Tribolium castaneum: one gene and its partner. The protein of the gene in region 2 purifies or fractionates together with the protein of the main gene of each other region. This does not show direct contact. Links are inferred from orthologs where the notes say so. Each region holds a gene or a part of one and is shown on either strand. Other genes may lie near its edges.

Region 1 (4,275 bases), on a different chromosome or scaffold from region 2:
TTCCTCAACCGGTGCCGCGGCATTCAACGGTGGTACAATCGTCGAAGGTTGGATGGTGGTGATGGGTGTCGGAAGGACCTGTCCTTGGCCCGCGGCGTTGACATGGGGCACCGGTCCGGGCATCACGTTGATATCGTCAGGATGCACGGCTCCGTTGACCTGGGGCACCGCCGGAGGGGCTAGAACATGCGGGGGCTGGTGGTGGGGCACCGGCGCAATGTTAGTCGGGTTGTAGTAATTCATGGGGGCTTGGTTCATCTGCTGGACGTCGTTCAAAACCGGGCACTCTTGCGAAGTCTCGTCTTCCGGTTCGGAGCGGTTTTCCGGTTCGCATTCCTCGTCGGAGATGATCTCGTCCTGGTATCTGAAGATGTCATTATGAACGTAGTACTTTTTGGGACTTTGGGCGGCCAATACGAAGGTTTGAGTGAAACGGCGCATCGGCTGACCGGCGTTGGATAACTCGCCGGTCACCTGGACGACGACACCGCTGCCGAGAGTGGCTTGGGAGTCGACTTGGGTGATCTTAGCGTGACAGTCGTGGAAATTCAGCTGCTGGATTTTTTGGTGGATTTGTTTCTGGCCGATGACAGGGCTGGTCTCCCGGTTTGGAGGGTCCAAACCGCCATGGATGAAAGAGGAGTTTTGGTTGTAAAATCTGAGAAATCACAAATTATGTACCTTTCTCGTAGCGTCTTGATCGACGTTTTGTTACGTTAGACAAATTTGTTAAAATAAATACAGAGGAAACTTTATCAGTTCCTGATGGTAGTGTCGTAATACTTCAGAAAAAATCAAAATACATTAAGAAGCTAAGACGATTGTAAATACTTTACATAAAAACCCAAATTACAGCAACTGGGTCACGATAGATGGCTTTTTGTTTCCCACGAATATGTTTAAATCTTTTAAGTCAGATAGCTTCAATTGAGACATTACACTAAGAGCAGTAAAAAGCACTTGCAAGAACAATGATTCCGAATTATTGATGCAGAAAGTAGTTTACCTTCTTCTACACAATTTGTTTTAATTTAATTTGAAGTAAAAAATTATTAAATAACGTCAATAAATACTCTGTCTTAATCTTTTGCAAAAAAGATAATTCTGTTTTAGCTAAACCCTGTGTAAGGTTAGGACAGCTACTACGAGTTTGTGTAATGTGTACCCTTGACATTTCATTTTTGAAAAAAATCTTAGGTAATACTCCCCTGACCTTACCTTAAGGTTTGATAAGAAAAGTCTTCTGAAAAACTGAATGAAAGCCAAAGCTTTCAAAAGTATAATTCGATAGAATTCCAGAATATAATTACGACTTCTTTCTCTAAACCGACCCATAAATTAATATGTAAATACTCGCAAATACAATCGAAACCAAAATCTTGTGAACTGTGAAGGATTCGTTTAGTTTATTGATCCGTAAACGCTCTTATAAAACACGTAAAAATATTTCAAATCGATGCTAATAAATCATATTTATTTTAATTTAACTAAAAAATAGTTCAATGAGTATTATTATACCTATAAGCATTTTTTGTTATTTTGGTTTGTAGAATGCTCGTAATAGTTGTTTTCACGTGTGTGATGTAATATGGTTTAAAGGTCATTCTTGTAAAAATGCCTCACCTCGAATTGAAGCTTTGGGAAATGAATTATCCATGCTTCAATTAAGTTTTTTCAAAATAAATAAATAAATCATAGTCACTGCTGTGCAATTAAAATTAATCTAATTAGTGTATTGATAAAACAGTAGGTATCTTACCTTCGTAACCTTGTTCAAAATAAAAATTCACTAGTTAACGCATTGCAAGGACACTTTCTGTAACTATCACACCGAGAAAAATTAAGCAGAATTTAGGAATACAACTAAAATATCTGTACGGTTTTCTCTACAAACGAAACTCAAATTGATTTTGGTAAACAAATTAATATTTTTTGTGATGTTGATAGCGATTTTTTTACAAAAGTTCAATGACCGTTCCTCCAACTCGACGCCTATGAACAATTGGCCAATAAAACTATAAGAAATAAACATATTGATATGGAATTCGTAATGCAGCATGGGCGTGCATCCACATTTATTGTTGTTAAATAAATCGCCACATATTACACCTCATAGACTGTTACAAAACATCAAACAGAAATAAATATTATAGCGAATTTCATTTGAAAATCCTACCTATCGCTCAACACTTGGTAAAAATTTGCATATTTGAAACAATTAACACAGGTGATAAATATGTTTGGCTGATTTTTGGGTGTAAAAATGTGCTTACCGGTGTAGATGGGCAGGGGCCTTGTTCAGCAAAGTGTAGTATTGTCGAACGAATTCCCTTCCTACACTTTGGGGAGATGGGGGAGCCTCCATTACCATTCCTGAAGAGTTATTTACAACTTGAGAAAACGTGCACCAGCAAAGAAGCCTGAAAACGGCAAAACTACCAGCACGCCTTAGGAAATAATCCCAATAATTCGGAGGAAAAAAATGTTAAAATGTGATAGACAAAGGGATTCCATAATTATTGCACACATGGAATGCAGATAACGAAATTTTCACCGAATCAAGCCTTGAGGCCAGTCCGGGCTTCGAATTTCCTTCCATCGAGGCGTTAGAAGGGAAATTCGGGGGCCAAGAAGTAAACAAATAGTCAGGATAGGGTGAAATAACCGCAAATTCTGCACGGCGAGAAAATGGATCATTGTCCATGTCGAATCCAGGAAAACCCGGTATGTGATAATGAACCAAAAAGGGGGAAGAAAGTCGCGCTTTCATTCACTTACCTCTAGATAGTCGGCGAAGCGAGCTAAGGAAGTATTTTCGGTTAAATTTAATTATTAACACGGTAGAAATGTGATTGAAATGCACAAACGCCGCAAAACCACGGGTGTAAACTTCATAAATTGCCAATTTAGTTACGATTTTGGACACCTTAGCCGACAGCGCCACTCAAGGACGTTTTTTAATCTAGAACCCAGGATTTCTTCTATCAATACGCATGCACAAACGGAAGTACCCTGTATTGATTTGGCGCCAAACTTAAAATTTACAGAAAATGGAGGGATTCACATGCACCATTTCGTCGCTTATGCTGTTGGCTTGCACCTTTAGAACTATTAAACACATGAAGGGTGGCGGAAGAAAATCAACAGTTTCAGTAAAAATGTACTCTATTTATTTCCAAATTTTATTAGACCACAACGGCGAACTGTCACAATAGAAATTAAAAAACTTTAAATTAATCAGGACACACATTATAATACATGTAGAGGATATACCTGAATGATGATAAATTATGTACACAAATTTTTTATTATTAAATTGTCATACAGTGGAGGAAGTACATGATGCCCCCCTACACAGATTACATAAACTTACTCTAAAATTACACTATCACTTAAGTTAACGTAATACAATGAAAAACCGGCTTGGCATTCCTGACGTTTAAAAAAAATAAACGGCTTTTTTATGCTTTATAGAAACTTAAATGTTCTGTACAAATTCGATACGAAAAATTGACAGATGAGAAGTGGAATGATCATATTCAAATCATCAATCGAAATATCAAATAAAAAAAGTAACTGAGAAACATCTATAAAAAAAGTAGATGATCAAACAGGCTATCAGTCAGACCAACTCACATACCAAAATGTGTACTACAACTAAATCTAATAGGGTTGATGCCTTTGGTTACGGCCGCCACCGCCGCCACCACCTCCTCGTTGTTTACCACCCTGATAACCCCCGGAGCCACCTGAAAAGAACAAGCAGTATAAAAATTTAATTAGTGATAAATCCTACTCACTAATAAAACTCAAAATATTCTCGCCACCTGCGTTGTTTGTTTGCCAGTTTGTTCTTCAAAATACTTTTTATAAATACTCATTTTTTTAAAAGATATAATCACTTCATTTTTATTTAAATTAGAATGCTGCAACCCTACAATGGTCATTTACTAATTTTTTAAAGATTAGTACGTGACGCAGTGAAAAAATACACGATGGTCTTACTGATTTTTTTTTGGGTAAACGCAGGTTACGACTATTGCTACATTAAAACAAATTTGTTTACTAAAAAATCTAATTTGAATTTGAAACAACACACAGTAACAATAAATGTAACATGATCAGTATGTACCTTTTCCGCGCGCACCACTGCGACCACCACCATATCCTCCGTCATAGTTACCATATCCATAGTCTGCATTCACGTAAACAAAAAAATATCAGTTAACTGTTTTCTACTATAAGCAAAACCAAAGAAAATTACGGACATGTTTT
Region 2 (4,250 bases):
TTTTTAGCAAAGATACCACCGAATTTCATTTCCTATTAACTATTAATCATGTAAACTTTAGACAAAATGTACTCAAAAGACGCAATCCTAGTTAATATTACGTGTTTTGTCAAATTTTTGCTGCTTTGTTATTATCAACACCAAAATATTCATCAAAGTTCGTTATAAACGAAAAATTGCACCACATTTTAAGTCAAATCTACTTCGTTACCGTTACCGGAAGTTCGTTATAACCCGTCTCCACTGTAGTCTATTGGCAACTTAGAACGGAAAAAGTGTGATGCGTGTGACCATTCGAATTGTTAGAAAAAAGCCAAGATTTATTGTAATTGTAGCACATTGATTAGGTCGCTTTATCTCTATTTACTTCAATTGTAAATAGTCGAAAACCTGTTTGCAACACGGGGTCAGACGGACGATTATCACGTAAGAAGTATCACCATAATGAATGAATGCAATAAAAAAACGACATGAAAAAGCCTTCACGAGTGTTGTGAAAATAAATAAATAAATAAATAAAAAAGATATGCAGTGATAAAACGCTTCAAACAAATGATAATTTCGGTTTAATTTAGTGCAGTCAGATAGTTGGCTTTGTTAAAATTGTTAAAGTTTTGTTAAATGTTGCTTAAATTAACGTATATTTGAATTTGCTTTTCAATGTTGCCAAGAGGTTTGATAAAAACAAGTAAAACAAAATTTGTTTTTCTGTTTGCCTCATTAAGTCTTATTAACTTATTAAGTTTTGACAAAAATTCAATTTGATTGAACTGAAGTGTGAACTGTCAACTACGGATGATGTTTAAATTTCCCGCTATATCACAGAAGAATAATTTCAAAATTACCCCCCAGAGAACGCCAGTATTAGTTTTCACAAATTATAATTACTAAAAACATATCTTTTGTACAATTAAATGATAAATAACCATGTGTCCGTACTTTTCGTCATTAATTTTAAAAATTACGCATCAACAAAAAATATAAATATAAAAACTGTAACAAAATAAAAAATGTTGCTAGTGTTCTATTTAAAAAAATGTCCCATATACAGGATGATTCAAAAGTGACAAACTCTCATATAGTGTTGAAAGACGTTCAATTAAGCACAAAAATAAAGTAAGATTTTTTTTCAAACAATTTTTAATTTGTTTTCCTTAGCAACGGTATCGATTTTTGCTCTTTTGTTTCCTATGATATCGAATTTAATTTATTGTCGAATTAGCAAGTTTTTTAATAGTTTTGTACATCATAAGAAATTAATTGTTGTTTTTTTTTTTCAACAGGTATTTGTTTGATGTTGCAAAAGCTGTCGTTTCCGCTAAAGTTAAAAAAATTAGATCTGAAGCACCAAAAACATAACTCAAAATTTAACTTCAAAGAGCTCGTGAAAAAAGGCTTTGTCATAGGAACTTTTAATTCAGTTTGATGTTCTTTATCAGTACTCGAAAGATTGTCCGGTGCTTTTGAATCAGACACCTGTATAAATAGATCATTTAAATTACAAATTCCTGTATCTTTTTACTATAACATAATCAAATTTCGTCTTAACTTACTGTTAAGTCCAAAAATCTTGTTAAATATTTATTTAATAATTATAAGTATTATCGGTTCACATTCATAAAAACCACTTCCTAGTGTAAATTGTTTATATTTTGCCTGTGTAAGTCGGTCTCTAAATGAGCGCAAATGTTTCTAGTAATTTCTAGTGAGAAATTTGTCAGAATTGACAGTGTCTACAAAAATAGGTTAGAAGCTCTGAAAGTTTTTAAAGTCTGCTAATTATTCACTTAAATCAAATTTGTGAAGTTGTGAAAATGGTTCAAAATCAGGGTATTAAGACTAATATTTTGTTTTAATAAAAAATAACCAATTTATTTCAGTTCTTTACTGCGCTTGTACCAGGTGTCAAATTTTGAAAGCGAATTAGTACTGCCAATCGGTACACTAAAAAAACTGTAAGCACGGGCGTACCAACCTAACAACTCTACAGCTGGTTGTTATCCATATGAAAATATAGCATGTCGAAAATTTTTTTAAGATTTTGTAAGTTTTGTACGACATCCTTAACTAGATATTTTTAAAAAATCCGGAAATAAATCTCTTTAACGCTAGAAAAAGTTTTTTGATCTATGCTGACTTAGACTAGACACGCTATGATAAATTTCTTTTTTCCCAAAGAAACTTGATAATTTATTAGTTTTACGAAGAATTACTCAAAATTATTATCTCAGTATCTGACTACTTGATTATCAAAAATCAAACTGTCCATTGATTAAAATTTGTTCTTGAAATTGTTTGTTTTGCTAACTTTTCCAGCTTGCTATCAGTGACAAATAATGAAAACATTCATGTCTTATTACTTTCACGTCCAACTTTTGGAACCTCCTTGTATATTAACAGTCATAACCTCAAAGCAATAAATGCCAAAATGACAGTTGACAATTCCGTCAAGTGCAACAACCCTGCATAAAACAAAACATAAAACACCAAATTGGAGATTCGTAAAAAATTAATGAGGTCAATACCTCTGTTTTGGTCTTTAATTCGGCAATTATGTGAAACTAGTTGTTAGGGCATTGAACCTTGAAAAAAGTAAAAGCATTTTTCGCCATCTTAGGGGCTTTTAAGACCACCATAAGCAAAAAAATTGTCAAAAATCGCCAAACACCACATGATTGTCAAATGTCAAACAATATTGTCAAAATTGTCAATTTTCAACGTGTTTCGGGAAACGTCCCATTTTTGATGGATTGCGCTGCGTGGACAGCCCCCTATACTAACCTCAGCGGCCCTCCCCTGTTTTTCCTCTTGTTGTTCATCTCACCGTTACCGTGATGGCCGGTATGGTCCTTATTTCTCGTCGGTACCGGAATTTTGGAGTCGTTGAAAGTACAACTGCTCGAAAAAAAATATTCACGCGGTACGTTCGCGGCCCTCTAACAAAGCAGGCAGCTCCAAAGACACCTAGAAGCGCACAAAATGGCTCAGTGACGTAATCACTGCCACTGTCGATTTTACCTCTTCACATTCGTGGCAGACGGTACCGTAGGCGGTGGCGTCCTCCTCGACACACTTCGTTCGAGACCTGGTGCTTGGATGGGTGCTTTAAAAAACCGATTCCTGTGATAACAAACAATTATAACACAGCATTTGCACAAAGTGTTGTCTGTCAGAGTGACATGGACAAACTGCGCATGCGCACAACACACTTCGGTCATTGCTTCTTTCCTCTAGTTTGGTTTATGGCGGCAAAATTGGGATCAATAAATAAGGGCCTGCGCCACAAGGGACAACTACCTGTTGGTGGTGGCCTAGTTTACGGAGATTTCACCAAAGGGCTTTTTGCACGAGAAGGTGAGTTTTGATGTGTGTGGGTGCATATGCAATCGAGAGGGTACTGACTTATTGCCAACCTGACAGAAATAATTAACATATTTTGATTTTGAAATAAACTAATAATTAATTAATAAAAATGCGCCCCAGATGTTTTGCATTCCTATTTACTTGTACAAAATAAATTAACAAAAATCAGAATCTTAAAGCTCTAAACCCTCTGGGAATTGGTGCATACAATCTTTTTTTGATATTTGTGTTTTTTATAAGTGTAAGCTGTTTCAAAACTATGAAAACGCCAACGTTGCATTTTACCAATTTATTTTTTTTATATTAAATATTAAAATTGTTATTAATGCTTAGATCTCTCATTGAAAGTATAAATTACATTAGCTATTATTTTTTTATAATTCATAACAGCTAATTTTGAGAGAAAATGCGACACTGGCGTTTTTATGGATTTAAAACAGAAAATAAATGTAGTTCCAAGAAACATTCTTTATTGAAAAAATTGGCTAGACATTTTTTATTAAACAAAATGTTTATTAATGGAGTTGACACGAATTTATGATATCGGTGCAATGTATTGAAAATTAAAAAAAATATTTCATAAGTAATTCAAAAATCTGCGCCAACGTCGCATTTTCTCTCAAAATTAGCTGTTACAAAAAATTATTGCACTCCATGTCACATTTAAATTTTTTGCTGTATCATATTTTTGTAATTACAGTATTTTTTTTTTTTAATAAACAATGGAGTGTTATACTCAAAAGTAAAAGTTTTTGGAAATTGCAGATTCTGAAAGTAGACACACAATGATGTCCAGTAATGTTGGTCTGAGGTTTTTTAAATCGGTACTTTTTTAGTAATAATCGAAAATTTGCGCTCTGACGTAAGCAATGTCTCGACTAATGATT

Evidence for each region.
Region 1: the proteins of ataxin-2 homolog (region 2) and rin purify together in Homo sapiens (affinity purification with mass spectrometry; 4 studies listed by BioGRID and IntAct, counting the BioPlex papers as one, with this or other methods). This does not show direct contact. The link is inferred for Tribolium castaneum from reciprocal best matches to the Homo sapiens genes ATXN2L and G3BP2.

Annotation. Positions count from the first base shown.
Region 1 is NC_087397.1:6,619,599-6,623,873, forward strand, and holds the start of rin (ras GTPase-activating protein-binding protein 2), read right to left. Parts: upstream 2,939-4,275; 5' UTR 2,779-2,938; intron 2,436-2,778; exon of another isoform or gene 2,421-2,435; 5' UTR 2,372-2,420; coding exon 2,274-2,371; intron 659-2,273; coding exon 1-658. Other genes in the region: sqd (RNA-binding protein squid), read right to left, coding at 3,664-3,749, 4,133-4,195.
Region 2 is NC_087401.1:7,996,161-8,000,410, reverse strand, and holds the start of ataxin-2 homolog, read right to left. Parts: upstream 2,918-4,250; 5' UTR 2,820-2,917; coding exon 2,782-2,819; intron 1-2,781. UniProt on the Homo sapiens protein: Involved in the regulation of stress granule and P-body formation.